Tamandua tetradactyla: one gene and its partners. The protein of the gene in region 2 interacts with the protein of the main gene of each other region in a biochemical or structural test. Links are inferred from orthologs where the notes say so. Each region holds a gene or a part of one and is shown on either strand. Other genes may lie near its edges. The genes, in order: CCNA1, H1-5, HPF1 and PRKCA.

Region 1 (7,920 bases), on a different chromosome or scaffold from region 2:
CACAGAACTGATCGAACAATAGATTTGCACAGAAAAAAACTGATATGAGCTGGATTATTCATTTAAAGTGTATAATTATTAAATTGCAACTGCCTTTAATGATGAGATGACCTCACTTCAATATATGATTTATCGGACTAGTTTGAGACTCATGAAAGATAGCACAAAATTCAAATTAGATGGATTTTCAGCTAAAGTCTGACAACTCAAAACTTCATTTGATACATTTCCACGATTTAAGCCATTCTGGCACCACCGGCACTCTGCAACTCGTTTTACCCTTGGTATGGACTCTTGGAGTGGCTCATGCCACAGCGCCTGACTCTGCAACCCAGGTGCTGGTGGCATCAATGCACCTCTAGCTGGGCACATTTCTAGGGACTGACCCATGGGAACTGAGGGCCAAGACCTTTCTCTCACGCAGTAGCGCAGGAGGCTGGCTTCTCCAGGAGACAGTTGCTGGTGGATGCTGTAAAGGGGCCAGTGGAGACAGTCCTGAGGGGTATTTTGGACATCACAATCTACTGATTCCTTGGAAGGTGCGGGGTGAAAACTCAACTGAAAGCTCTTGTTCTTTAGGCTTCCCTTTCTAGAATGTATGTAGATTATACCACCTGCCCTGTTTGTTAACTTTTATTTATTTTTCATTATCAGATCTGGGTTCTGCTTCCAAATATCCAGAGCAACATGCATTGCTTCTTTTCTCTGACTTCCAGTGGCTACCTTCTATTCACCTGCACCCACCCTGTTGAAATAAACACTAATTTAGCTACACTGTTATTATCTAGTTACCTCTCTGGGTGTCCTGGCTGGAACAAAGCCTTCTTCATTGTTCTCCTCATACACGGCTGCTGCCTGGCATATGATGGGTGCACCAAACATTATTTGTAAAATGAATGAATATTAGATTTTGGCTAATCTCATGTATGCATTCAAACTATTTTCACTCTATAGAGATGACTGTTTGGCATGTTCTAAATGGAAACTTACTTCACCGTTATGTAAATTTGTGGCTGCATCTCGTTAGTAAGTGGGGCATGCTTGGTCCACATAGCCTTCTGGAGTTATGGGCTAAGATGCTGTGAATGTCCCGCCACCCCCACTGGTCCTTCCGTTTTACATGTACACCTAAGATGGACTAAGGCATGAACATGCAAAACATGCCCCTAAATGTACCTCTGCCCTGAAATAAAATCAGCTCTTCTACTTTTTCATCTCTTTCAACCCCACGCCAAAAATCAACTTGATTTCATGCTGATTAATGAAAAGCGAAAGGCTTGATCAGGAGGCTAATTACTAGGTACAATGAGCAAATGTGATCGAAGTAATAACTGCTTCTGAAATGCCAGGTAAATTGCTGGCAAACAGAAAAGACTGTCTTTGAATTGTAATTTGGGGGTTAGGTGGGGAAGAGGAGTTGATTTTAATAGGACTACTGGGTTTTAAAAAAACAAGGAAAGAATTCAGCTGTCACCTCTGGTATGGAAATTAATACTAGCGTCAAAATTAGCTGAGCACTGAATATCAAGTAGGAAGTGCTGCCCAAATTAATTGAAATTAAAAAGATGCTTTATATATATAACTTCATTAAGCCAAATATTTTAGATATTAAAGAAAATTGCATTTACAATTAAATGTACAATTCACTTCCCAGTATAGTGTACAGTCAATACATAATTTATGTAAAACTTGTAGAAATTTAAAAATCTATTAACCTTGCACTCCAATCCTGCTTTCCCCAGCATAGCAAAATTATAATTATGCATCTCATTGCAACTATGTAATTTGTGAAAAAGTCCTTTCTGCTCCTGTTTTTCTTAATTCTATTGCCAAGTTTTAAGTTTAGTTAGATATTTTATATAAAACTTGTGCACATATTCATCAGTTAAGTTTGTATCAAAAAAATGGTTTGAAGTTTTTTTATGCAGCTAAAGTCAAGAAAGTCACACTTTTACACAAGCTATACAAGCTACAGAAACATTTGAATTTATATGTACACACATATATAAATATATACAAGTATCAGTTTATCTAAATCAGTCTCCAATTTAAGATCTGACTGGAGAGCTCTGATTTAATATGGAATTCTAAAGCAGCACAAAGAGAAAACAATCATAAGTCATTTCTCATTTCCCTTTGGCAAGTTTCACAATATGCGTGGAGAGAGAAGAGATAATGTTGACATGTGGTAGTAATAGTAATAATTTTATTTTTTCTATTTTATTATTTTAACAATAATAATAGTTATTTCATGCATATAAAGATGTATTGGCATGATGATGAATATGCAACTATGTGATGATACTGTGAATTACTGATTATGTATGTAGAACGGAATGATCAAAATTGGAATGTTTGCGTTTGTTATGTGTTTTTTGGTATTAAAAAAATAAAATAAAAATTAAAAAAAAAAGATGTATTGGGCTTCAGCTATTGGTCCGAGATGATGATATACAAGGAAAAAGGTATGAAAAAGGTTCCAGCTGGTTGACAGTTACGTTTTAAAGGCTATCTTTCCAACTGAAGCTAGCATATAGAGGAGGACACTTCTGATCACGATTTGAGTGGAAACACCCAACTTTAAGGGGCTGTCCCAACAGGAACTTTCCTGTCACTACCCCTTTCCCATCTCGAGCTTTAATCCCAGGAAAAAGATTCAACATGGCAAGCTTCAAGCACAAACTTTGCACTGGCTTCTCTGTTTCAGAGGAAAAGCAAAGGGTGGGAGGGTTTGGTTAGGTTTGCCGGAGGAAACCGGATCGAAAGGCAAGTCACAGGGGTCAGGGCGTGTGACCTGATCTCTGCCAAAGCCACTTGGACCAACTTGCTCCTGAGACCCAGACCAGGTAACCACGGAGGCCCCAGCGTCCCCGAAATCACAACGGCTCCGCCAGGTGGAAGTGGGGTGAAGGCCAGGCAAGGAGCAGACAGAAAAGCTCCTTTTTTACCCCAGAGAGCCATCTGGCAAAGCGCCAACACCGAGGTCTCTTGGCGCTGGACACCAAGCTGTTTCCACATCTCTGGGCTGCCTTCTCACCCAAAGGCACGGGAATTTGGGGTGCGAGGGGATCACTGATTCCCCGCGACTGCAACCCGTGACCGACGTGCAGAAGTTGGATTCTTACCGCACAGAATGGATGTCTGCGCTCCTTGCGCACGCAGCACCCAAGCCCAAGCGCGCTCCGGCGTCCTCTCATCTGACCCCCGCCCCCCAGCGGCTGCCACCCACGCCCTATGGGAATACCTATATTTTCCCCAAAACAATGCACACCCAGTTCGCGGGATGAAAACTTAATAAAGAACACTTGGACATTTGGAATGCTAAGAAGGACCAGGACGTGCATTCCAAATAAGACAGAAACAAACCCTTGTTTGTCGCAGTTATCTACTTCAGAGAATCAGGGATAGGAGCTTCTGATTTTAAGAATAAACCACTCTGAGGTGGCGACAGAGAGGCGGCCGGCCGCCACCGAACTTGAATGTTCTTTTGAAGACAGTTTCCCCCGCCCCTCCTGGGGTTAAAACCTGGGAAAAAACGCCCTTCTGCGTTGACTCCTTTTCGCCTGGTGCCAGTACCTGCGTCTTTGAATTTTTGACACGGCCTGGGAAGCACGCCGGGTGTTAGTTGGAGGGTTATCCGGTATATTAATGCCTTATTGATAATGGCAGAACATCCACAACTACTGGACACAACTCAGATTTTAAGTGGTGATATTTCTCTTCCGTCTGCTCCTATTCTGAGTGCAGATGGAACCCAACAGCATGGAATCAGAGTTTATGAAGCTATTAAAAATGATCACTTCAACTGCATTCTTTGTGATTTGCACATGTGAAGATTTCCTGAAGCTTTATTTTCTGTGATAGACCATTGTAAAATACCTGAAAGAAGCATGACTCTTACAGGTGCTAATTACTATTCATCTTTAAAGAGTGTTCTCAGTAATTAAACTTTAGTTCAGTTATTTGTTAATATGATTGAGTGTATATCATACATAAGCACACTTATAGTTTGCATAATGTATTGCAAAATTTAAATAACCTGACAGTATTTGTCATCCATATAACTTTTGAAACTTAGAATTAAGTCAATAATTTCTTTTTAGTTGATCCTATCATGTGGTGAAATGTTATCTAGTCTCAATATTTTTTGTGTGAATGTACAATATAAGAACTAATATCATATACAATATAAAACTAATGTGCATGCATTTTAACAGCATAATGAATTGACTTAGACATATTACAACAATTTGTATAAGAAAGCTTATTCTGAAAGTGGTTAAAAGGGAAATGTTATATTGAATATACGGTAATAGGATAAAATTTTTAAAAATCCATAAAACTTGGTGATGAATACACAACTATGTGATGATACTGTGAACCATTGATTGTATACTTTGAATGGACTGTATGGTGTGAGGATTTCTCAATAAAAATATTAAATAAAAATAAACCACTCCCGGCTGAACACAGCAGTGACAATTTTGTACCTGCAGGGATGTGCACCCACAGATTCACACCTATGGGTTGTATGTATATGTCTTCAATCTTTCATCCATCTAGGAAAGTTTTGGATTCCTTCACCTGTACGGTGGGCCTTCCAATTCAAGGGCCCTCCCCACGTGGCCAGCCCACCTCCCACTTCCGGGCCTCGCCAGTGTCTCCCCCTCCCCACTTCCCCATCTCCCCAACGTCCCCAGCCTCATCGCTGCCACCCGCGTTCCTTCCTCTTCCTGGGCCACTCTCTTTGCGCTCCCGGACCCTTCGCGCCATGGCGACGGCAGCGGTCCGGGAAGGCCTCCCGTGGGGGCCGCGGGCACCCCGTGTGCCCCGAAACTCCAGATCCCTTCCGTGGCCCGCCGCGCACCATGTCCCGGGCCCCAGGCGGGCCAGGCGTGGCCCCGGGAGCGCGCAGGCCGGGGAGTGACCGAAGGCGGGCCGCCACCATGAACAGAGCGCCGCGGTTCCACCCCGGGGTCTGCCCGCCACCCCCGGCTGCGGTCTGCGAGGACGCCTAGGTGCGTGGCCAGCGTTGGGGAGCGAGCGGCGCCCTCGGGCCGGAGCGGTCGGTGGGGCCGCGTCGCTCTCCCGAGCCAGAGTTCGCAGGAGCTGGCCGCGGAGAGACGTTGGCGGGAGGAGTTCGCGGCTGTTGGGGGAACCGGTCCCGGGGCCACCGCGGGCCTGGCCATCGCGGGCCGGATCCTGCCTCCCGCCCGGGCCGGACGCGCCGGCGAGACGCGCAGCGGGTGCCGGGTGCCGTGGCCCGCCCGGGACAGCCCGGCCGAGCAGCAGGAGCTGGGCGTGCCCGTTGACCCCGGCGAGGTGGCAGCCCCGGGCGCGTCGGGTGAAGGGGTCGCGATGGAGACGCGGGCCCCGCGTGCGCCCGCTGCGGTTGGCATGGGAGCGGCCACGCGAGTCCCAGCGACGCCGCCAATTGGGGCCCGAGCGGAGCGGGTGGGGGGACAGGCAGGCCCGCTCAGCGCCCGGGTCGCTGCGGGAGTCGGCGCCCCGCCGGAACCCAAGCCCCGCCCACGCCCCGCCCCCTCGGGCGCCCCTGCCGCCCTGCTCCTGGTGGGCGCTTGCTGATTGTTCCAGACACACACCTCCACCTAACACCTCCATCTAACACACCTCCATCTAACGCCGAGGCGAGCGGGGCTGTCGGGGCCTCCAAGCAGGTTTGGGGGCCTCAGTCCGGTGGGAGGAGGGCTGCGGAGCAGCACCTGCGTGGCACCTGTGTAGGGGACACCCATTCCCGCAGTGCTGTTTCCTGGGCCTTTGGTTGGGAATCAGGGGGCATGAGCTTAGGGCAGGGAGAGGCTTGTTGGTTTTGACCCCAGGTTACCTGGGAATTGCTCAGTGGTCCTGCCTCCAGCAATTGGAGGTTTCCAGGGCTCTGATGCCTGGTGCTGCTGCTCGCGTCCTTCCAGCCCTTCCAGCTGCTAGGGGAGCCTAGCCTCGATGCTCTGCCTCCTGGCGATCCGCTGCGCCCTTGGAGCCGGGTGGGGGCGGTTGGCTAACTCGGTCGCCCCTCCTCTCTCCTGGCAGCCACCAGTGGTGATGGAGGGCAGGCATCAGAACAGCTCCAGGAGCCGTATCATCCTGGCTCCAGCAACCCTTGGCCCCGACGCCTGTCAGATGGTCACCAGGGCCCAGCTCGGTCAGGACGCCCCCCAGAGGACCGTGCTGGGGGTGCTCACTGAGAACGGGCAGTACAGGACCTGGGGCCAGGTGAGAGCAGCCCTGGAGCCCCGTGGAGCCCCGAGGACTGCCCTGGAGGGTTTCCAACCCTGAGTCATGGGGCTAGTGGGAAACCCAGTTTCAAGGGTGGCCTCGTCGGGCCCCATTGCCAGCTAGAAATAGTGAACAACCTCCTTTGTTATTTTTCCAAATTTAACTGAATCTAAGGATCATTTGTTTTAAGTATATGTGACTAATTCCAGTTCTAAGCTAAAAAAAAATGTGTATTGACAAAACCATGGATCTGGGTTCTTTCAAGCCTGCTGGGGAAGGGGAAGGGCGGGACGGGGTGGGGGGGCGCAGCCCTGCACAACCTTGGCTTGTTCACCTTAGACAGGGTTGGAGACAGATCGGTTCTGCCGACTGGATTCACAACGAAGTCTGTGCTTTGAGAGCAGCTGCCTCCATGCTCTGGCCAGAGCACTGGGCTACCAAGCAGTGTGCTGGTAGCAGGCCTGGCTGATCTGACTATAAGTTCATCCTTAACTGATTTCAGTTCAGACCCTTACAGGACACCTAAGAATGAATCCTGGAACAGGGAAATGCTTCCCCAAGTCTGTTATCAGACAGGCCCTTTCATAGTGGTGCCTTAAAAACCTGTGTTGCACATCTGAGACAGAAGCCAGGAGCTTCCCAGGCAGCTTCCATTTTAGAGTTGAGAAATTTTGAAAGGCTTGAGAAAGACCAAGACCCCCCACCCACCCAAATACATATATGCATTTTATATATACAGTGGAGGATAATTAGAAGCCCATCTATCAATTCTTTGTCATCTGCCTTTTGTGGTATCTGACCAGTGGACGGAAATAACTAAAATGTACTGCTCAAAGCTTTGGAGAAACTTGAGTGAATGTGATTTTTTAAAAAAATCAGAGTCTATTATTTTATTTGTACATTGCTCCATTTCTCACAGCAATAAATGAGATCACTTACTATGAAAACAGAGGCGTGAGTTGGATTTAGCCCTATTAAGTCAAATATATGACAAATCAAAATGTGAAAAAAATCACCACATTTAAATTATTTGTTGTATCACCAAAACAAAAGAAAACATTAGTCCATTTTGGATAGAGAGCAAAGACTCTTTACAATGCTTTACTTAAGTCTTGGTCCTCCTTTGCAGAACCAAACCAGTGGCTCTTTCTTGCATCCACTCTAGCAAAAGCATGATTTTCTTGGGTGTAAGTGATCCCTGAAAGCCCAAAGAAGTCTGGCACCAAGCCAGGCATTTGGTATATTCAATCACATGATGAGAGAAGCCAGTGTGCCCATTTGCCCATTTTATATATTGCCAAAACAGGCCCAGGTGCTATGCTAAAGAATGACTCTGGTTTTCAGAAAACTACAATCTACTTACACAATGATCTCTAGTCTCTGAATTTGATGAAGAAAGGTTCTGATTTTTTTTTAACCCACAAACAAATCACTTTAATTCTTTTGCTTTTTTTTAATTTTAAACATTTATTTGTGATATAAATAACTCCTTAATTGCAATTAATCAGTTTTAACTATTCTGTTGGCAATTTGTCACAAATAAATGAAAGAACGTCTTTATAATTATACTATAATTATATATGGTTTACATTATGGTTCACAGTTTGTGTTGTATAGTACTATTTTGCTGTTTTAAATTTTTATTCCAGTAACACATAGACACCTAACATTTCCCCCTTTAACCAT
Region 2 (5,621 bases):
GGAGAACGTGATCCGCGACGCCGTCACCTACACCGAGCACGCCAAGCGCAAGACCGTCACCGCCATGGACGTGGTCTATGCGCTCAAGCGCCAGGGCCGAACCCTCTATGGCTTCGGTGGCTAGGCTACAGCCCTTAAATAAGTCTTAACAAAACTAAAGGCCCTTTTTAGGGCCCCCCACGAAATCTGTGAAAAGAGTTACGTGCACTTTTTAAACTCTATACCTGATTGCGTTGGTTTAATACGGGATTTTACATAAAACCCAAGGTAATGGAGAAGTCAACTATGGTTTTCCCGGTCAAAATCAAGCACTTAGACGATTTCAGGGGTAAATTCTACCGGCGGGCAAGTTGGGTCGACGACAGCCAAATCCACTGTCACGTTTTATTCACATAGCCGGGGGGCATTTATGTTGTGTTTTTAAGTTCTATCACTCTATAAAGTCAAACGTAAATACGTGGCAACAGCTTCAAAGCCAATGAAGTCCCCTTTTACAGGAAAGTTGGCTGGCCGTGGCTTTAACAGTGCCTTGGGGTGGTTCTTAAGTACGCTTAAAATTTAATACTATAGGTATAGCGCTTAGCGACTCGGATTTCAAAGTACTTGAACCCCCTAATTAAACTGATCTCGTTTCCTTAACACGTTACTCAATAATGTTTTGTGGCAGGAAATCATTCAGGTCACTTTCTATTTAAAAAAAGCGCTAGGCGCTTTTAGATTCTCAAACCAACAACACACGTAATTCTGACGCGTTAAAAAAAAAAAAACCTACAGGCTTTGTTAAGAGGTAGGTAACTTTCTTTGTAGACTTTACCAGACTGAAATGGAAGTGGGAAATATTTCCCATTCATTAAGGGATTGAACAGAGAACCAATCAGGTGGGTGAGCTAGGTCAGTAGAAATCTGTCGAATCAGAACGCGACAGTCGCTATAAATACTGGGACTAACATCCTTCAGTCTCACTTCTGTGCGACTGTTACTCTTCTCCGTTATGGCTCGTACTAAGCAGACAGCTCGCAAGTCCACGGGCGGCAAGGCGCCGCGCAAGCAGCTGGCTACCAAGGCAGCCCGCAAGAGCGCCCCCGCCACGGGCGGCGTGAAGAAGCCGCACCGCTACCGGCCCGGCACCGTGGCGCTGCGCGAGATCCGCCGCTACCAAAAGTCCACCGAGCTGTTGATCCGCAAGCTGCCGTTCCAGCGGCTGGTGCGCGAGATCGCGCAGGACTTCAAGACCGACCTGCGCTTCCAGAGTTCGGCCGTGATGGCGCTGCAGGAGGCGTGCGAGGCCTACCTGGTGGGGCTGTTCGAGGACACCAACCTGTGCGCCATCCACGCCAAGCGCGTCACCATCATGCCCAAGGACATCCAGCTCGCCCGCCGTATCCGTGGCGAGAGGGCTTAAGTATACGCAGTGTTTCACTATAGTGCCGTCCAAAAGGCTCTTTTAAGAGCCCCTCAATTGTCAAGAAAGGAGTTGTTTATACCTTGTCACTACAAGCTGGACTCAACACCCAGTGCCACGTGGATTAAACTAAGAGGCTGAGTACCGATCAAACGTTGACATGGCTATTTCCGGCAGGGCAATTGGCACCAAGTCTGTAAATGGATAAATGCGTTCTGCATTCATGAGGTGGTATTAGGTTTTTTTTTTAACGCCTTAGCAAACTGAAAGGCTCCCATCCCTTCCTTAGTTTTATCTTGCCTATCCTTTACCGTTAACTCCCTCTCCTACGTTCCATTGTCCAGGTGTAGTTAAATTTAAATACTCGCTCCAGTCTTTCACAATACTCTTGTGATTGCTGTGACTCTCAAGTAGCAGCAGACAAGCAAAGATTGCATTTGAAAGCAGTTACTGGTCTCAGTAATCTCAACACTTAACCTAACACATTAGGACCTGCTTATTAGCCTGACTCAATATTTTTAGTTGTCTTGAAAGTTTCTATGTTCTTAACATATGATTATTAATTACCTAATTGTGTGCTACTTTCCTTTTAGGGTACACCCTTTTAACTCCAGGAGGTGGCAGTTAATGTCAGTGCAATTTTTTCTTGAGTGTTCTCTGGTAGGTTAATCTTCTAGGCCTTTGTTTTAACCCTAGTTCATACATCAGCCTAACAAAGGAGGCTTGTATTCCACCCACTGGCTCACTCAAGGTTTTTTTGGAATATGGAAATTGATTCTGCAAAAAGAAATAGATAGGACCAGCCAGCAGCATCTTCCTATAGATTCTTTAGAACTTAGAGCTCCTTTAGGGGCTGTCAGTTAGTTGTATGGTCAGCTTGATGCTGCTTCTTCCAAAGTTCATATATGGTCCCCCTCCCTAACCGCCCCCCCCCTATATTTTTCTACCATAATAGATCTGGAGCCTAGTAATCTAGACTCCAGCCCCATTGCTGCCAGCTGCTAGCTAAATATCTCTGGAAAAGTCACTCATTCTCTCTGTGTGTCTCATCTTATAAAGCCGTAAAATGTGCAAATGAATTAAAACCTGTAGAACATAGTTCATAGCACTTAGCAAATACTCATTAAATGTTAGCTGTTATTGTTGTTCCCAAACCCACCCCTGGGAGCATGGAGTTTTGAGATTTTTTTTTTCCTACCCCCGGATCCTTTGAAAATATTGTGATTGAACAGTGAAAAATACTTGATAAGAAAATTTCTTGCTTCGATTCCCTTTTCCTTAATTCTTGATTTGCATGGTCCTGAAAAAGGCCTGCAGCAATATACTATGATCTGTCTCTGTGTGGAGTTTGAAACAGCACAAAGACCAGTTAGCAAATATTTTAGGTTTTACAAGTCACACATGGTCTGTGTCGCTTATTCTTTCGGTTTGTGTGTGTGTTTAATGAGACTTTTAAAATGTAAAAACCATTCTTAGCTTGAGGGCCACATGAAAATGGGTCACTGCCTGGATTTGGCCCCAAAACCATAGTTTGCTATCTGCTCCTGGAGTTCCTGGAAAGAAGAAAAGGGGGATTGACCATTCAGCCATTCTTCCACAGTCGTACAGTTTTTCACTGGCAAGAACTAAGTGACTGTCAATTGCATTAGAGATCTAAATTATCATCTGATCTTCCTCATCAACCGAAATCAAAATCCTGTCCATTTTTCTCCCAAATATATATCAGACTCTTGCACCATCCATTGCAACCTCATAATCATTGCATCCATTCCTTTGGGGGGGGGGCGGGGAGATGCTTTCATGAATTATCCTGAACTTCTATAACTTCTAGTCCCTCAATATCCAAACCACCCTTCTCTCAGTAGTCAGATACTTTTCCATAATACAAGTCTATCCCTGATTAAATAGACAGAAATATCCCACTGGAGTCTCCTGGCTGCTTGGACAAGAGCTTTAAGACTCATTAAGTTTTGAGCTAAGGAGTCAGTGTCTGAGCACTGGGAAAAAAATGTCTTGTGAGCCTGACAGGGTCCAAGGTCATCTAAACAGTTGGTGCTTTATTCTGAGACTACTGCGAGCCCTTGAATAGTTTTCAGCAGGTTTGAGGGTTTTTGCTTAAAGCAAATCATCTGGCTATGCATTTTTTGTCATGGTAATGGCTTTGGTCAACTAAAGAGAAAGCATCTCAGCCAGTTCACATACCAAATTCAAAAGCAATTTGAATCCAGGTTTTTGGACTCTGAAGCCAGAGCTATGTGCACTCATCCTACTGCAATATGGAAGATGTCATTCTGGCAACTGACCTTTTTCAAGCTCCTAAGTTTCATTCTCGAAGGACACCAGCACATGGACACTCCTAGGAGGCAGAACCAAGTTTTAAAGAAGGGTCTAATGCAGTTAATTTGGGACTATAGGCAACCAGCTGCCCTGGCCTGTGTTACTTGGTACACTTGGAAACAAAGTTTCTCCCCAAACTAAGGAACACTGTGTCTTTCCTCCCGCAAAAATCAAAGGCCAAACCTATGGAAAAATTATCTTAGATAACTTTTGCTGGATACTTGGTAGAAATTTCTTGCAACATGCCACTAACTAGCAACTTGTGTTCAGCCACGTGGGTTCATATGAAAACCTGAAAGGATTTTCAGAAATATCTTTTATCAGTTGCGCACGGTTCATGAAAACAAAAACAAGTGTGTGAATCTTGAGGCTGTTTTCTTCCTTTGGAACTTAAAAGCGTCAAATTCTGTACTGCTGTTTTCAGCATTTAATAAAATTTTGGAGACTAACAAACACAACTTGGGAGTCCAACCCCGAGCGGCGAGAGCCCGAGGGCGGCGGATTGGACGCTCCACCAATCACACGGCAGCGTCGGCTTATATAAGCCCTGGGCAGGCCTGGGCCAGCATTGCTGAACTTGTTCGTTCTCGGTATAGAATCTCTTCTTTAGTTCATCCTCTCGCCATGTCGGAAACAGCTCCTGCTGAGACCGCCGCCCCGGCGCCGGTGGAGAAGTCTCCTGCTAAGAAAAAGGCGACTAAGAAGGCGGCAGGCGGCGGCGCTGCTAAACGCAAAGCGACCGGCCCCCCGGTGTCTGAGCTGATCACTAAGGCGGTAGCCGCTTCCAAAGAGCGCAATGGTCTCTCCTTGGCCGCGCTCAAGAAGGCGCTGGCGGCCGGCGGCTACGATGTGGAGAAGAACAACAGCCGCATCAAGTTGGGACTCAAGAGCCTGGTGAGTAAGGGCACGCTGGTGCAGACCAAGGGCACCGGCGCCTCCGGTTCCTTCAAACTCAACAAAAAGGCGGCCTCTGGAGAAGCCAAACCTAAGGCCAAGAAGGCCGGTGCGGCTAAGGCTAAGAAGCCCGCCGGAACCACGCCTAAGAAGCCCAAAAAGGCTGCGGGCGCGAAGAAGGCGGTGAAGAAGACACCGAAGAAGGCCAAGAAGCCGGCGGCGTCAGGCGTCAAGAAAGTAGCCAAGAGTCCTAAGAAGGCCAAAGCTGCCGCCAAGCCGAAGAAGGCGGCCAAGAGCCCAGCCAAGCCTAAGGCCGTGAAGCCGAAAGCGGCTAAACCTAAGGCCCCTAAGCCCAAGGCTGCCAAACCCAAAGCTGCAAAGGCTAAGAAGGCGGCTCCCAAGAAGAAGTAGGAACCTGGTGTGATAGAAAGTGAATAAAGCCCCAAAGGCTCTTTTCAGAGCCACCCAAAGGTCTCATGAAAAAGCTGTGCACTATAATACCAATCCTCAAACCTCCTGTCTACCTCCTTGATGAATAAACCTTCATCAGTGAGTACCAGCTCCTAGGGGGGCTTGTGTGAACAATAGTAACCCTGCAGCTCTGTCCACATGACATTTCTTTTAAGATTGTGGGACAGTACCCCTTCCGGCTACTTCCAAATATTTATTTGGTTCTCTTAATATTTGTTACATCCTATGTCAGAGGTGCAAATTTGGTCATTTAGTAAAACAGCCTGCCTGTTTATAATAAATTGGTTTAGGCAGAGCAAAGCGCCCCGTACGGTAAGGAGTTAGCAGTTTACTACACTGTTTCCCTGCAAAAAATTCTCTTAATGTAAATTGTCTGCAACCTACTTTCGACCTGATGCTCTTTACGGGGCAGCTACGAAAAGAGAAACTAATTTTAAAAACCCGCGCCATACTTTTTGATTGGTCGAGTGTTATTCTGGCAGTTGACGACTCACTTGTATGATTTTGATATGCCGAA
Region 3 (6,973 bases), on a different chromosome or scaffold from region 2:
CAGAATTGTGGGATTGACAATGCCTCCTTGACCAAAAGGGGAAAAAGAGATGTAACAAAATAAGGTTTCAGTGGTTAAGAGAGTCCAAATAGAGCTGAGAGGTCATTCTGGAAGTCACTCTTATGCAAACATCAGCCACATATTGCAAATTGCCACAGTATACCAAGCTCCAAACATTATTTCTGTAAACCCTATAGAATAACCAGGGCTCTGTCTGAGACTCTATAATAGTTTCACTCATTTATTTCTCAGAAACCTAAAACCTCCAGATGGTTCCTAGGCCAGATAAGTCCTGAAACCCAGAGTTACCAGTGTCTTCAACAACATCAATCAGTTGCATCCCCCTACCCCATAATGTCGGTGATGGTCATTGCCCAAATATCCCTAAAGATTGAGAAAGGAGCAAGTGAGAGGGAGGAGTTGAACAGAGAAGATAGGATTTAACAAATGAGTATGACTGCTGGATTGTTATATTGATATTTCTTTTTAGCCTCCAGTGTCTTGGAGCAGTTAGAAGTAAGTGCCTGAACTTGGGGAACTATAACTCATACAATTTGTTCTAGTTTGCAAGCTGCTGGAAAGCAATATACCAGAAACAGAATGGCTTTTAAAAGGGGGAATTTAGTCTAAGTTGCAAGTATACAGTTCTAAAGTTGTGAAAATGTCCAAATGAAAGCAAGTTTATAAAAACATCCAAATTAAGGCACCAACAAGAGGTTACCTTCGCTCAAGAAAGGCTGATGTCACAAATCCCAGAGTGATTTGATCAGTGAATGGAAAAGTATTTGTAAAGTCCCCTTTGGGGAATGGTGAGAACGGGGGAAAATTCAACCTCCCCAAGTTGAATTCTTGATACTCTCACAAGCAGTGTGGACAACCAAAGCTATAGGCCAAGCCCCCAGTCATATGAAACTTAACCCCACAAAGGATGGGTCAAGCCTACTTAAAATTAGGCCTAAGTGTCACCTCCAAGAAAACCTCTTTTGTTGCTCAGATGTGGCCTCTCTCTCCAGCCAACACAACACGCAAACTCACCACCTTTTCCCTGTCTACGTGGGTCATGACTCCCAGGGGTGTGGACCTTCCTGGCAACGTGGGACAGAAATCCTAGAATGAGCTGAGACTCAGCATCAAGAGATTGAGAAAACCTTCTCAACCAAAAAGGGGAAGAGTGAAATGAGACAAAGTGCCAATGGCTGAGAGATTCCAAACAGAGTTGAGAGTTTATCCTGGAGGTTATTCTTACACACTAAGTAGATATCACCTTGTTAGTCAAGATGTAGTGGAGAGGCTGGAGGGAACTGCCTGAAAATGTAGAGCTGTGTTCCAGTAGCCATGTTTCTTGATGATGATTGAATAATGATACAGCTTTCACAATGTGACTGTGTGATTGTGAAAACCTTGTGTCTGATGTTCCTTTTATCTACCTTGTCAACAGACGAGTAGAGCATATGGAATAAAAATAAATAATAGGAGAAAAAAAAAAAAAAAAGGCCGGCATCATTCAGGGTTTCTCGCCCAACTGGAAAGGCACTTGGTGAACATGGTGACGTCTGCTAGCTGTCTCTGCAGACTCCTTGTTTCATGAAGCTCCCCCAGGAGTGTGTTCCTTCTTTATCTCCAAAGGTCTCTGGCTGCATGGGCTCTGCAGCTCTCATGGTCTCATGGATCATGTTATGCTGAAGCTTTCTCCAAAATGTTTCCTTTTTAAAGGGTTCCAGTAAGCTAATCAAGACCCACCTGGAATAGGCAGGGCACATCTCTGTGGAGAGGATCTAATCAAGTTTCCACTACAATGCTGGTTAGGGTTTAAAAGAAATGGCTGTCTCCAAAAGATGGAATTAGGACTAAACCATGGCTTTCCTTGGGTACATAGTCCTTTCCAACCGGCACACTATACTTTGAGATTTGTTGTATAGCTACTTATTACAATGTACTTTGAAATCTATCCCTTTTCTGAATGTATGTTATATTTCACAACAAAAAATGGTTAAAGGGTCAATGCAGAGTTATGAAGACAGCATTCTGGAAACCCTAAAGTTTATATTTTCAGAGACAAGAGAAGATGTATCCATGAAAAAAAAGAACAATATGCTATAAAAAGAACACAGCATGAAGAGTCCTTACAAATTCAAGTATGATAAAAGAAATCAAATGATTTGATACAAGAATCCTCTAATAAAATTGAGAAAATCACATAGAAAATAGAATAAAAAGACAGAGATAAGAAATGGGACTGATAAGGAAAAACAGCTGTCAAGAAGGTACAGCATCTGAATAACAGGAATTCCAGAAAAAGAAGATACAGTAGGTAAGGCGAAGCTAGCAACTAAATAATATCCCCCAAATGCACAGAACAGAACATAAACTAGTGGAGAGGAAATAACCATATAAATAGCTCCAGAAAACTTGCCAGACCTGAAAAACACAAGTTACAAGGGTGATAGTGATAGAAATGAGAACAGACCCACCGGCCAGACATGTCCTATCTTAGAGCAGCAAGAATAGGGGAAGATCCTACAACTTCTCGAGACAAAAAGAAACAAGAACAAAATCAGGTTGCATATGAAGACCTGGGTCACCGGCCAAGGAGCAGGGGTCAGAACGCTGCGAGCCTTCCCCAGGGCGATGCTGGAGACTGCAGGACGCGGGGCCACGGTGCGGGTGCCTTCAGCATCACGAGCGGAAATTCTGCTCAACCTCAAACGCCACCCTCGCCAGGACAAAGGCAGTTACCCACACGCAAGGTCGCAAAGAGCTCCTGGCGTGCCGCATTTCGCATGAACTCCTGAGGACGGGCTCCACACATGAGCTCGGCAGATGTAGGAAAAGGAAGACCCGGAAGGGGCGAGGCGGGTTGGGCGGAGCGAGGCGGGGCCGAGGCGGGTTGAGCGGGGCGGGGCCGAGGCGGGTTGAGGCGGAGCGAGGCGGAGCGGGCTGAGGCGGGTTGGGCGGGAGCGGGGCCGAGGCGGAACAGAGGCGGGTTGGGCGGGGCGGGGCCGAGGCGAGTTGAGGCGGAGCGAGGCGGAGCGGGCTGAGGCGGGTTGGGCGGGGGCGGGGCCGAGGCGGTTGGGCGGGGGCGGGGCCGAGGCGGGTTGGGCGGGGCGGGGCCGAGGCGGGACAGAGGCGGGTTGGGTGGGGCGGGGCCGAGGCGGAACAGAGGCGGGTTGGGCGGGGCGGGGCCGAGGCGAGTTGAGGCGGAGCGAGGCGGAGCGGGCTGAGGCGGGTTGGGCGGGTTGGGCGGGGGCGGGGCTGAGGCAGGTTGGGCGGGGGCGGGACCGAGGCGGGACAGAGGCGGGTTGGGTGGGGCGGGGCCGAGGCGGGTTGAGGCGGAGCGAGGCGGAGCGGGCTGAGGCGGGTTGGGCGGGGGCGGGGCCGAGGCGGGACAGAGGCGGGTTGGGCGGGGCGGGGCCGAGGCGGGTTGGGCAGAGCGGGGCGGGGCGGGGCCGAGGCGGATTGGGCGGGGCGGGGCCGAGGCGGATTGGGCGGGGCGGGGCCGAGGCGGATTGGGCGGGGCGGGGCCGAGGCGGGGCCGGGCCGAGGCGGGGCCGAGGCGGGTTGGGCGGGGCGGGGCCGAGGCGGGTTGGGCGGGGCGGGGCCGAGGCGGGGCCGAGGCGGGTTGGGCGGGGCGGGGCGGGACCGAGGCGGGTTGGGCGGGGTAGGGCCGAGGTGGGTTGAGGCGGGGCCGAGGCGGGTTGGGCAGGGGCGGGGCAGGGGCGGGGCAGGGGCGGGGCCGGGGCGGGGCCGAGGTGGGTTGAGGCGGAGCGAGGTTGGACGGGGACGAGGTGAGATGGGCGGGGACGAGATGGGTTGGACAGGGCGAGGCGCGGGTTTCCGCGCGAGCGCGGAGCCAGAGCGAGGCGGGGCGGAGGGACGCGGCGGGAAGGAGGCGCGGGCGGAGGGGAGCGAGCACAAGGTGGGGCGGGGCCTCCCCGTTAAAATGCGCGGCCGTGCCGCAAGGAGCGTGGCCGGCCTTGACCCCGGAAGCAGTTAGCGGCGCCGGAAGCGGCGGATGGCTCTGGCTTGTTTGCGCCGCTGCCGTGAGATGGTCGGCGGTGGCGGGAAGCGCAGGCCCGGCGGGGCGGGGCCGCAGGTACTGCCCGAGGGGCTGTGCGGGCTGTGCGGGCTGTGCGGACTCCGCGGGGCGCCTTGTCAGCCTGGGCCCGGGGGACGGCTGATCTCTCATTCAGTGGTGCTTGAGCGCTGGCTGTGTACGGTGCTCGGCCTCCCCCGGGCCCCGTCCCGCTCTGCTGGGAGCTGGCCGCGGAGGCCTCGCTTCTGCCGTCCGCCGCGCTCCCGGGGACGTGGGGAAGGCGCGCGGCGGTTGACGCGTCCTTCGTTCGGGCCGCGGCGCAAAGCCCGGCCGGGAGACGGCCCCGACGGTGGCGTGTGGCTCTGCCTTCTGTCCGGAATGGGAACGCTAGCGGGTGGGCAGTGCCGTGGAAACCCCAAGGGACGGTTTTACAGGCCCTCGGGGGTGTTGGAAAGAGCTTGGGGGACGCCTGCTCGAAATGTTTCTTGAAGAATAAGTTGAAGGCGCTTCGGGCGGAGAGAAGGAAGGAGCCCCGAGTCGGGACGGGGAGGCGGTGCTCAGGCGCCGGGAGAGCGCCACGGCAGGAAGGCGCTCGGGTGGGCGTGGGGGCAAAACCGTGCATTTTCTCACCTTCACAAGATCTTAGAGGTTCTGTAGCCAGGGCAGGAGGAATAAGGGGGTTAAGCAGGGAGGAAGTTATTTGAGGTTTTAGCTAAATTGCTCTACCTGTGTTATAAACAACAGGGTGCAACATTGTTACAAGACTTCCTTGTTAGAAGGCTGTGGTCCTAGGCGTTCTTAATATTGGGTCACGCCTTCCAGGAGCCGTAGGGTAAAGTGTAGCCTCTGATGGCGACACCTATCCTAAATTCTAACTTTTAGGGATTTGGGGATGTTGAACTAGTGTGTGAGGTAGGTAGAACTGGAAAAATTCTCTCTGAAAGCACAGTGAAGAATTGCTTAGACAGAATACAGGTTTAATTAAGGGCACTATACCAAAAATGAAAGCGAGTCTATAAATAAAGACTAGCTATAGCTAACACTTAATAATGGCCAGCGTTTATATGCTGTGTGCTAGGCAGTGTTCCCTGTATTTTTGCATATAGTATTTCTCACCACGGCTCTGTGATTAACGATATAGCTATTAAAAGTGCCTTTTCGGTATGTATGCAAACAATATTACGCACAGGTTGTTTGACTTGCCACAGGTAAGATGGTTGGGAAATAGCGGAACCAGGAGTCAGACCAGGCCTTGGAGCTATGGAAAACTGACCATTATGCAAAATTGCCTTTCAGTAAGTCAGATAAGGTTTTTCTTTCTAACATTTAAAATTTGAGCCAGGAGAGGTCAGGACTCCATGTGTTCCTATTTGTTCATTTGTGGTTGGAGAAGCAGCGTGATGAAGTGATTGAGAATTTAAGCCAGCCCACCTGGGTTTAAATCCCTGCTCTGCCACTTTGTAGTTAGGGACCTAGGGAAGGTAACTTAATACTCTTAGAAGCATTGTTGCCATGAATATTCGTAAATGTGTGTCTTCTGACCATAAACATTTCATGGAATCTGCATTATACTAGAATGACATCACCAAACTTGAGCTTACTGAAGAAAACAGAAGAATATAAGAAATCTGTGATTCAGGATTTCTCAACTTCTGCACTGTTGGCATTTTAGATCGGCTAAGTTTGTTTTGGGAGCTATCCTATGTATTGTACGACGTTTAGCAGTAACCCTGGCTTCTAGGTTAATAACTGACTCCTTCTCCTCCATTTGGGACAACCAAAATTGTCTCCAGGTATTGCTCAGTATCCCCTATGGGGCAAAATCCAGAAAGAAAGGCTCTAAGTCCCTAGAAAGAAAAAACAGATTGTTGCTTACAAAACTCAAGGCATGCAGCTGCCAACTAATCTTTACAGAAAGTTATCACATATCTATTAGTGTTATGGAATCTAGCATGCTTAAACAATGAACCTCTAGTGATTAGGTGATACAAAGTAAGTTTGTAATCTAGTCCCAAAGTTAAAAAAAAATTGAGGTTTAGGTGCAAATTTAGTGCTGTTTTACTAACTTCAGTTGGAAAGTCAAAAGGAAGGTCACTGCTTTTAGATAGAAGTCTGAGAAATAATTGTAGTGATTAGCCCAGATAACTCTGGTTGAAATTTGCTGAAGAAACAACTTTTCTTTTTATTTTTTTAGCTGGTAAATCCTCATGCCCAATCTCCTGGTGTGATCATTGAATATGTCTAAACAAAAGGCATGATGACAAAAGAGGGCAAACCTGCCTTCTCCCACTTCTTTTGTTGGTCTTTACCTTTATTTTTGTACTTTTATTTTTCCATATTTCCGTTATGTTTGAGAAATATATTTAACGACCTGATGCATAGGTCCCTCTTGACCATAATATATAATGATCTATTCTTTCCTTTTTTCTTTGCCTAAGAAAATCCCAAGATTTTTCTCAGATACACTGTTTATAGAATGTTATAGAAACTATATATATCTGGTAGAGTTGGATGAATAAGAACGAATAAAATTGTTATGTAGGAAAAATTGTTGGCTTTCTCTTTAGAGAACTAACATTTTATATGCTGATTTTCAGTGTGAAAAAACAGTTGATGTGAAGAAAAGTAAGTCCTGTGAAGCTGATGTCTCTGTTGAGCTTCGAAAAGAAGTAGAAAATCATTATAAATTGTCTCTGCCTGAAGATTTCTATCACTTTTGGAAGTTCTGTGAAGAACTTGATCATGAAAAGCCAGCTGGTGAGTTGCTCCAGAATCATCTCCTGCTCCTACAAATGGAAAAGATAACTTGGTAGGACACTGGACCAATGATGTAAACGGATCTTAGAAAGGAGCATTTTCAAAGATATTTCTAATAAGAGAAATATAAATTAAAGCTATAATATGTCACCTGTTATATTGGCAAAGGTAAATAAGTTTATG
Region 4 (7,951 bases), on a different chromosome or scaffold from region 2:
ACAAATTCAACTTTGGAAAAAAAAATCTGTCTTGGCCTCATAGCATCACTGAACTATATCACTATTTCAAGCTTCTTTCTAATTTTGTACCCTATGTTATACCTGCTTAAAATTAAAACAAGAATATAATCGTGTATTCAAAGTTGTTGGCTATAATATTTAAGTCAGAAAAAGGAATTAATGAAAAAAAACAAGGAAGTGACTTAATTCTGCTCCTAAAGACCAACTGAAAATCTTCTTCCTGAAGACAACTAAAAAGTGGTTTCTGTTTGTTTAAAATATTATGGGTCTAGAAATTGCCAAACAGCATCAGTCTTACCATTTAAAAGGAATTAGATGTGACAAAAAAAAAATCATTTCCATGTATTGCATTTGAGATCATGATGATCTAATTTTTATTGAGAACCAGTAGTATTCAAAGCACACAATGGCTATTTCGTTCCTTAAATTGCTTCAGAGAACCTACTCTCTGAGCAGAGAACACTGACATGGACATTAAATTGCAAACACTGTTCCTCTAGAATGGCCTGCATTAAAATTTTCACAAAAGATTATTGGTTATAATCCCTTATGTCAAGTAACATTTTAAATTTGCACAGCACTTCACATACCTTTATAATTAACTCAGAATCACCACCACCACCACCACCACCAACCCTGCCAAATAAAGCATGTCTCAATCCAAAACATTTAGCTTTTTTTAATGACTGTGCTTTAAGATTTAAGTGAAACTTATAAATCAAGAACCCACAGAAACAATGAAGAAAAAAAAAGAAAACTGAAAAATTAAAGCCAGAATTTTCTGACAGATGTTTTCCTGGCACTTGCATGTGACTGCTGTAGAATGAGGTGAGAAGCATCGCAAAGGGGTTACTCTGGGGAAGACCTGTATTTCCACTTCACAGCACACCTGGCGACCTGGCTGGCCACAGCGGTTCACCAAGGGGCAGATCCTTCAGGGCAACTGACAGTGGGAAGACAGCTAGCTTGGGTAGGGTGCAAGTCTGCTCTCTAACTCACGTACTTTCTGCAAAAGTCATCCACACTCTGAGATAACTGCTCCCTTTAAAGGGAACCTCACAGTTGACAGGGAAGACAGAAGACCTGCGCTGAACTACATGCTTCTTCCCCTTGCTCTGACACTCCAACAATTTATTGTCAAAAGCCTTATCTACAATTACCTACTCCTAGGAGCACAACTGCTTCATATGCTGACTGCACAGCGGTGACCATTCACAGACGTGACTGTGCTTTTCCAAAGTGTACCTTTGAGCTGATTTGTCAAAGGGAAAGGAAAATTAAGCACTCAATTAGCACTGCATTTTTAGGGCTTGCTTGCCCTTTCAGACACCTTCCCCCAGGAGTGATGGACACAGACAAATCCACCCAAACCTTCTCCCTAGTGCCCCTGTAAATAACAAGATACACATGCACACAGCTGGCTGTTGGCGGGGTACACAATGGGGCACTGACATCCAGCTCAATTTCCAGGCCCACAAAAGCAGGGAGCTAAGGAAACCTAGCCACAGTTCTGGCTTAGGAGGAGCGTCCTACACCCACCAACAAGAGATAGAAGAGGTAGGGTGCCAGGCAACCTAAGAGAAAAACACAGCTACTGCTCCTCAAACTAGTGGACCTGGAGTTTCAGATTTCTAAACTTTTTTTTTCCGGGGGGGGGGGTGCGGGGGAGGGTAGGGAGGAAGAACACAGACCTTTTGAGAATCAGACCAAAACTATAATCCTCTCACCGGTATTAAAAAAAAAAAAAAAAAAAAAAAAAGCACAATTAAGTTCTGCCGGGTTCAGAGACCCCTAATACCATCCATTTGTCAACTCCCCCCAAGAATACTTGAGTACACTGGAAATTACTTGAACTCTGACACCTTTAGCCGTTACGGTTATTTGTCTTAAGTAAGGCCTCTGTCCTCATCAACAGGGTTACAGGTCTAACCTCCTGTTGACAGGGTCTATTTTAAATGACTCCCTCTGCCCTTCTGCCATTCGCCTGCTCGGTTTTAATCCCCCTCCCCCACTGCAAGCTTTCAACAGATTGCTGCCTCTGGACGCCTCTCTACGGTTCACCTCGAAAAGTCAAAGTCTCTCGGTGCCCAGCAGATACCAGCTACAGTAGGCAGCGATCCAAAGTTCCAGCGGCGTCCCAGCCCGCTGGGAACCGCAAGCCCACAGCCCCGAACGCGCCCCGCCCGGCTGCCCAACAACTTGGACCGCGCGCAGCGCCGCCGCCGCGGCCGCCGCTCCCGGGTTAGTCCGAGGGCGTGTTCCTCCGGGAAACTCTTCCCCTCGAAAGTCTCCTCTTTTTCATGTCCCGGTCTTTGCTCACACCCGACAAACCAGGGCTCCGCGATCTGCGCGAAGGGCCTGTACGCCTGGGGAGGGGGGTGGGAGTCATGGCCCCGTGCTGGGGGGGGGGGGGGAAGGGGGGTGGTCAATGTCACGGCCGCTCCCGCCAGCCTCTCTCCTGCGGCAGGGGGTGTGTGGCCGGGGTGGTGACTTCCCCAGGGGTCCGGACCGCGCGTGTGTCAGGGGCCGGGAGCGCGTGTGGCATTCGGGCGAGAGTTCGCACTCACGCGGGCTCTCCAAGTTCCCCGGACTTGGAGGACCCGAGCGCGGATCCCCGGGACCAAGGGACGCTAAGGGGACACTTGTCCCCGGACCTGGGCGCCCGGAGAGAGGTCCGGGGGCGCCCCGAGCGCGTCCCCGGGGGTGCCCGTCCCGCGTTCCGGCCCCGCGCGCACCTACCAGATGAAGTCGGTGCAGTGGCTGCAGAAGGTGGGCTGCTTGAAGAAGCGGGCGATGAATTTGTGGTCCTTCACCTCGTGCACGTTCTTCTGCCTCAGCGCCCCTTTGCGGGCGAACCGGTTGGCCACGTCCTGAGACGCCGTGGAGTCGTTGGCCGAGTAAACGTCAGCCATGGTCCCCCCCAACCACCTCTTGCCTCCGCCGGGGAGCAGCAGCCAAGGAGGGTTGGGGTGGGCGGGGGCGGACGGGGGAAGGGCAGCGGGGCCGTGGGCGACCCCGGGCGGGGGGCGCGAGCCGGCGGCCGGGGTAGCGGCGAGGAGGCGCGGCGGCGGCGGCGGCCGGACGGGCGGCGGCCAGGGAGAGCCGGGCCGGAGCGGCGCAGAGCGGGAGCCGGAGCCGGAGCCGCTCGCTAGCTGGCTGGCCCCACGCTCACTGACAGCCCGGCGCCGGGCGCTCGCGCTTCCTACTCGCGGCGGCAGAGGCGGCGCGGAGTGGCGCCGCCCACCGCGCATGCCCCGAGTGCGAGAGCCGCGCGTGCGAGTGTGGCCGCGCGTGGGGAGCGCGCGCGGGCGTGGGGGCGCGCGGAACAGGAGCGCGCGCGGGCGTGGGGGCGCGCGTGGGGGGTGTGGCCGCGGCGTTGAGCTGCGCTGAGCCGGGAGGACGCGGCCGCGGGTGGACTCGGCGCCTCCGTGTTTTCGCTGCAGCCCGGAAAGGGGAGGAGTCGGCAGCGACCCGGGAAGGGCCGGCTCGAATTTGGGAGCTGAGGAGGCAGCGGCCGGGGGCGGGCCGTTCTTCGCCGCCGCCTTGCTTTTCCTCCCTTTTTCTCCCCTTCCTCTGCCGGGCTCTCGTCGCTCTCGCCTACTCCTCCTCTTCATTCTCCTCTCTTCTTCCGCTCCCTTCGCTCTGCCTTCTCCTCTCATCATCTTCCTCCTCCCACTCTCTCCTGCTCAGCTCTCTCCTCCTCGCCCCGCGCTGTCTCCTCTCCCGGATCGGAGTTCTGCGCCTCTGCTGCGTGGCGGAAAGGAACCCCGAGTTGCGGTATGGGGCTCCACGCACTGCCTCCTTCACCCGGCCCTCGGTGCGACCCGCTCGGACCTGCACTCTCCCTTGGCCCCCCGCCCCCCACACACACACCTGGGTCGTCCCCCGTTTCCCCGGACCCACCGGTATTTCCAAGGCACGATGCCCATGTTTTATCAACTTGTACCAGTTTGAGGTTTTACAAGGCTGAAATGTCACTCTAATTGTGTGTGCCCTAAAATGCCGAACCCCCAGACCAGAATGCTTTTTATAGTTGGCAGGAGTTAGGGAGCAATTTCAAGTAATTGAGCACTGATCCTTCAGCCTAGCTTCAATTGCTATTGACCTATATTTCACCTACTTATTGTATAAACATCTAACATGTATTTCAGATATTATCAGCAGGTAGGAAAGTTAATGAACTTGTCCCAGTTATTTATCCCGTTATTCACTGGTTACAACACCTACAATGTTGATTATTAGGCTTTCTTGGTTTTGTAAGAAACTCCAGAACTTTCATTTAGAAATCACTTTTCATCCTAAACTAATTACTGCAATACTGATAGGTGCAGAGTGCAACCAGTCCATTTGTAAATTGCCAAAAAAAAAAAAAAAAAAATGCTTGAATAGGGCAGCTGGCATGGATATGCAAAGGACACGCATGTGACTGTACCAAGTAATCACTTGCTGAGGATTTATTAGTTCTGCCCCAAGGATGCTAAGATACATAAGAGAAAGAGACATCTTTCATCATGTCATTACGCTTTATTTCATTGTCAGATTCACTAAATTCACCAAACAACTTCATGAACTGAAGACATCAAGACAGAGAATGAGCTGTGTGATCCCTTAAGATGTTAAAGTATCAACTTTTCTAAGATATGTACTATCTTCTTAAGTCATGGTTAGTTATTGCTTAATAAATTTGTAAATTGGGGGGGTGCAAGGGTAGTTCAATGGTAGAATTCTCACCTGCCATGTGGGAGACCCGGATTCGATTCCTGGCCCATGCATTTCCCAAACAAACAAGCAAACAAATGAAAAACCAAACAAAAACACAATATTCAACAAATGGTGCTGCTATACGGGGATAGTCACATGGAAAAATAATGAAATGTGACCCCCACCATACAGCATACAAAAAAAATTGTAAATCAAATACAGCGCAGAGTAAAGTGCATGATTCTTTCCTTATAACCATCATTATCTAAGTCAGTGGTCATTACGCATTTTATAAAAATAAACTTCTTTCTATTTCCCTGGAGTATTGATATAAGGATGGAAGAAAAATTGGGGAGAGGTGGAAGGTGGGGTTGCTGAGGTTGGAGAATGGGAAACCCTGAGCAAAGTAATAGAGATTAAGGGCTAAGAACCAAGTGGGCCTTGGCGGTCTCCTGTATGAGCAGAGTCTCTGCCCTTAGCAGTCAGTGGACCAGAGGGAGAAAATGTCTCTTTCCTTTCAGGTTATTGCTTTGCTTTCCTGCCTATTGATATTGTTGTCCCTTGAGGGTACAGGGAGAAATGACTAAACAGAAGACATCTGATTGATAGTTGGCTGGACAGGAGCATATCAGTTCCCTATATCTTAGCCCAGTTGGGTGGCTGGGGTGGTGGACATGGAGCTGGGGAATTACCAAGCAGTGTCACCTACCCCTCCCCAACAGAGACTGATGGGAAAGTGAACCATACTTGGTCCCTGAAGCTCACCTGAGAAGTCCCCATAGCATAATTAAAATGGTGGGGATTAAGGAAAGGAGAACTGCAGGTGAGAGTGGTCAACCAGTCATGGGCCTTGGTGATTTTTTTTAGAGCCTGCTTTTCATGGCGAAATTGCAAGAAAGAACAGGAAATGGTAGACTGAACGCAGACTGTCAGAATCCTCCTCTGTCTCCTCTATCTTTGAGGAACCAACTTAACATTCTTTGCAGAGATGTGGCCTGGAGATTGGAGATTGGGATCAAAGTCAGAGCATCAAACTGATGACTCTGAAAAAAGAGTGGCTCACATAAAACCAATAACTTCAAGTTATAACTGTTAAATATGTTACCCTATATAGAAAGCTGGTCTATTTTTCAAATAGATGAGGCTGTTTTCAAGTTTGGCAATAGGAATTGTTTAAGGGTGGAAAAACCTTGATTTTGAGGTTTATAGGAACCAAACTCATTTAAAGGCATTGTGTTCAAGGTTTTTGTGAGGGAAGGAAACTGGTGGAATGCTTGGGTAGGTGGTCATTAGCATCACAGTAGTTGGCAGGTCTCAAGAAATGGATAGAGACAGGGATCTAACTGTGAAGCAGAAGTCAAGAGACAGGGAACATTATTGGGTAAGCTTAGGGTGCAGGGTCAGAGTTCATGGTGGGTGGGCAAGTCAGAAGCCCTGGTCAGAAGTTAGCACCAAGGCTACCAGTTAAATTTGTGCAGATTGCTAACAACACAAGAGCACCCAGCCAAGAGATCGAGTAGAGGCTGAAATCCAGTTCATACATTCCTCACCAAGCCATACGTCTTTGGGCCTCTGTCTGTCCAGAAGGGGTACCTTTTTTCTAATTCACTCCAAGATACCATTTGGGCTGGTGGAGACCCTGGTGAACATCAAGGTTGCCTCTGGTTGGTTGTATTTCCCTCTACTGTGGGCAGCCTCCATCGGGTATAGGATTGGGGACTTACAGTCCAAGCATACCTTTGTCCAGGACCCCTTCTCAGTCTCCACCATCTCATAGCATCACGGGCCACACAGGGGTTCAAGCGGAAAACTGAGATATCATTCCTATTTTGCCTTTTATCTCAATCCCACTTCTAATCCACAAGGAAATTCTGTTGACTCTACATCCAAGACTGACTTCACATCTGTCCATGGCCCCCACCCAAATCCAAGCTCCATCATCTCATTCCTAGGCCACTGCAGTCGTCACCTAATTGGTCTTCCTGCTTCTGTTCTTGCCCTTCCCAGTTCAGATTTCCCAGGTAGCCATCTGTTAAAAATGTAGCTAACTGTTTGAATACAATTTATGTATTGAATACATGGAAAGACATATCCTCTTCTTTTATAGGAAGAGACATAGAAAGTCAATTTCCCTTAATCTATTTACAAATAGGTTTTTTTTTCCGAAATAGGAACATGATTCAAAAGTCTAAATGAAAAAAAACTTGTAGGAATAGATATACTACCAGATATTAATCCAGAAGAATAAGAGTAACAAGTACAATGGAAAATAGAGGGAAGTGTCATGAACAGATAGCTCCAAAAAGAGGAAATGCAAATAGTTCTTCAAATACGTAAAGATGCTCAACCTCATTCATAGCAAGATAAAGGCAAATGAAGACCAAATTATAACCCCATGGAGACCTCACAGGTGGGCACATATAAAATTTGTGATAGCACACTGTTTCAGGAAGAGTATGGGAATCAAACAGTTTTATACATCATTGGTAGGACTTTATATTGGCACAAATATGATAAAAAGCAATTTGGCAATAACTATCAGAATTTGAAATGCATCAAACCCTTTGCCCTAGCAACTCCACTTATAAGAATGTATCTCACAAATATACATGCACATGTGCAAAACGGCATATGTATAAAGGTATTATAGCATTCATTTAAATAGCTAGTGATTGCTAAATTCATACAAATACAAGGTTGGATGGTCTTTCTCAGCCTGCATTATGTAGGAAGCAGGCTGATTTCCTCTTCTTCCTCCAAAATATGACAGATGTAATTTCCCTTGGCTTGCAGTGACTATAAATTAGGAAGCAAGAGATGGCATATGGAGGAAGTATACAAAAATTATCCTGGAGTTAGCATTTTATACTTAAAACATCACTCAAGATCACTTCAGCCTTTAGCCAAGGGCATAATGCCTGGATTCTCTGAAAATGCCAGATCCAAAAGGACCCAAGTAACTCCTCATAGCTTTCCAATCACTTTTAAATTAATTGAAATGGGAACCAGTACTTAACTGTTATCTTATGATGCTTTTCTAAACCTTTTTGAGGAAAGGTATCTGCCCAGGTGTCCTGAATCTTTTAACAAGAACCAGTGGGCTCTATGCCCACTATGTATTACGATATTGAGCTTTTTGACGTTTTATTGTGAATTTTTTCAAACATTTGTCAAAACAAAGAGCTTAAGATAAAAAATCCCATGTACCTATCACACAGCTTCAGCAATT

Evidence for each region.
Region 1: of the proteins of H1-5 (region 2) and CCNA1, one has a biochemical effect on the other in vitro, tested with the Homo sapiens proteins (2 studies listed by BioGRID). The link is inferred for Tamandua tetradactyla from reciprocal best matches to the Homo sapiens genes H1-5 and CCNA1.
Region 3: the proteins of H1-5 (region 2) and HPF1 form a complex in vitro, tested with the Homo sapiens proteins (2 studies listed by BioGRID). The link is inferred for Tamandua tetradactyla from reciprocal best matches to the Homo sapiens genes H1-5 and HPF1.
Region 4: of the proteins of H1-5 (region 2) and PRKCA, one has a biochemical effect on the other in vitro, tested with the Homo sapiens proteins (2 studies listed by BioGRID). The link is inferred for Tamandua tetradactyla from reciprocal best matches to the Homo sapiens genes H1-5 and PRKCA.

What each region holds. Positions count from the first base shown.
Region 1 is NC_135330.1:103,227,365-103,235,284, reverse strand, and holds the start of CCNA1 (cyclin-A1), read left to right. Parts: upstream 1-4,898; 5' UTR 4,899-5,018; intron 5,019-5,511; exon of another isoform or gene 5,512-5,678; intron 5,679-6,048; 5' UTR 6,049-6,060; coding exon 6,061-6,231; intron 6,232-7,920. UniProt on the Homo sapiens protein: May be involved in the control of the cell cycle at the G1/S (start) and G2/M (mitosis) transitions. May primarily function in the control of the germline meiotic cell cycle and additionally in the control of mitotic cell cycle in some somatic cells.
Region 2 is NC_135351.1:30,971,327-30,976,947, reverse strand, and holds H1-5 (histone H1.5), read left to right. Parts: upstream 1-4,300; 5' UTR 4,301-4,363; coding exon 4,364-5,044; 3' UTR 5,045-5,104; downstream 5,105-5,621. Other genes in the region: histone H4, read left to right, coding at 1-124; histone H3.1, read left to right, coding at 992-1,402. UniProt on the Homo sapiens protein: Histone H1 protein binds to linker DNA between nucleosomes forming the macromolecular structure known as the chromatin fiber. Histones H1 are necessary for the condensation of nucleosome chains into higher-order structured fibers.
Region 3 is NC_135352.1:43,136,966-43,143,938, forward strand, and holds the start of HPF1 (histone PARylation factor 1), read left to right. Parts: upstream 1-3,961; 5' UTR 3,962-4,012; coding exon 4,013-4,093; intron 4,094-6,630; coding exon 6,631-6,790; intron 6,791-6,973. UniProt on the Homo sapiens protein: Cofactor for serine ADP-ribosylation that confers serine specificity on PARP1 and PARP2 and plays a key role in DNA damage response.
Region 4 is NC_135332.1:7,717,184-7,725,134, forward strand, and holds the start of PRKCA (protein kinase C alpha type), read right to left. Parts: upstream 3,002-7,951; 5' UTR 2,934-3,001; coding exon 2,761-2,933; intron 1-2,760. UniProt on the Homo sapiens protein: Calcium-activated, phospholipid- and diacylglycerol (DAG)-dependent serine/threonine-protein kinase that is involved in positive and negative regulation of cell proliferation, apoptosis, differentiation, migration and adhesion, tumorigenesis, cardiac hypertrophy, angiogenesis, platelet function and inflammation, by directly phosphorylating targets such as RAF1, BCL2, CSPG4, TNNT2/CTNT, or activating signaling cascade involving MAPK1/3 (ERK1/2) and RAP1GAP.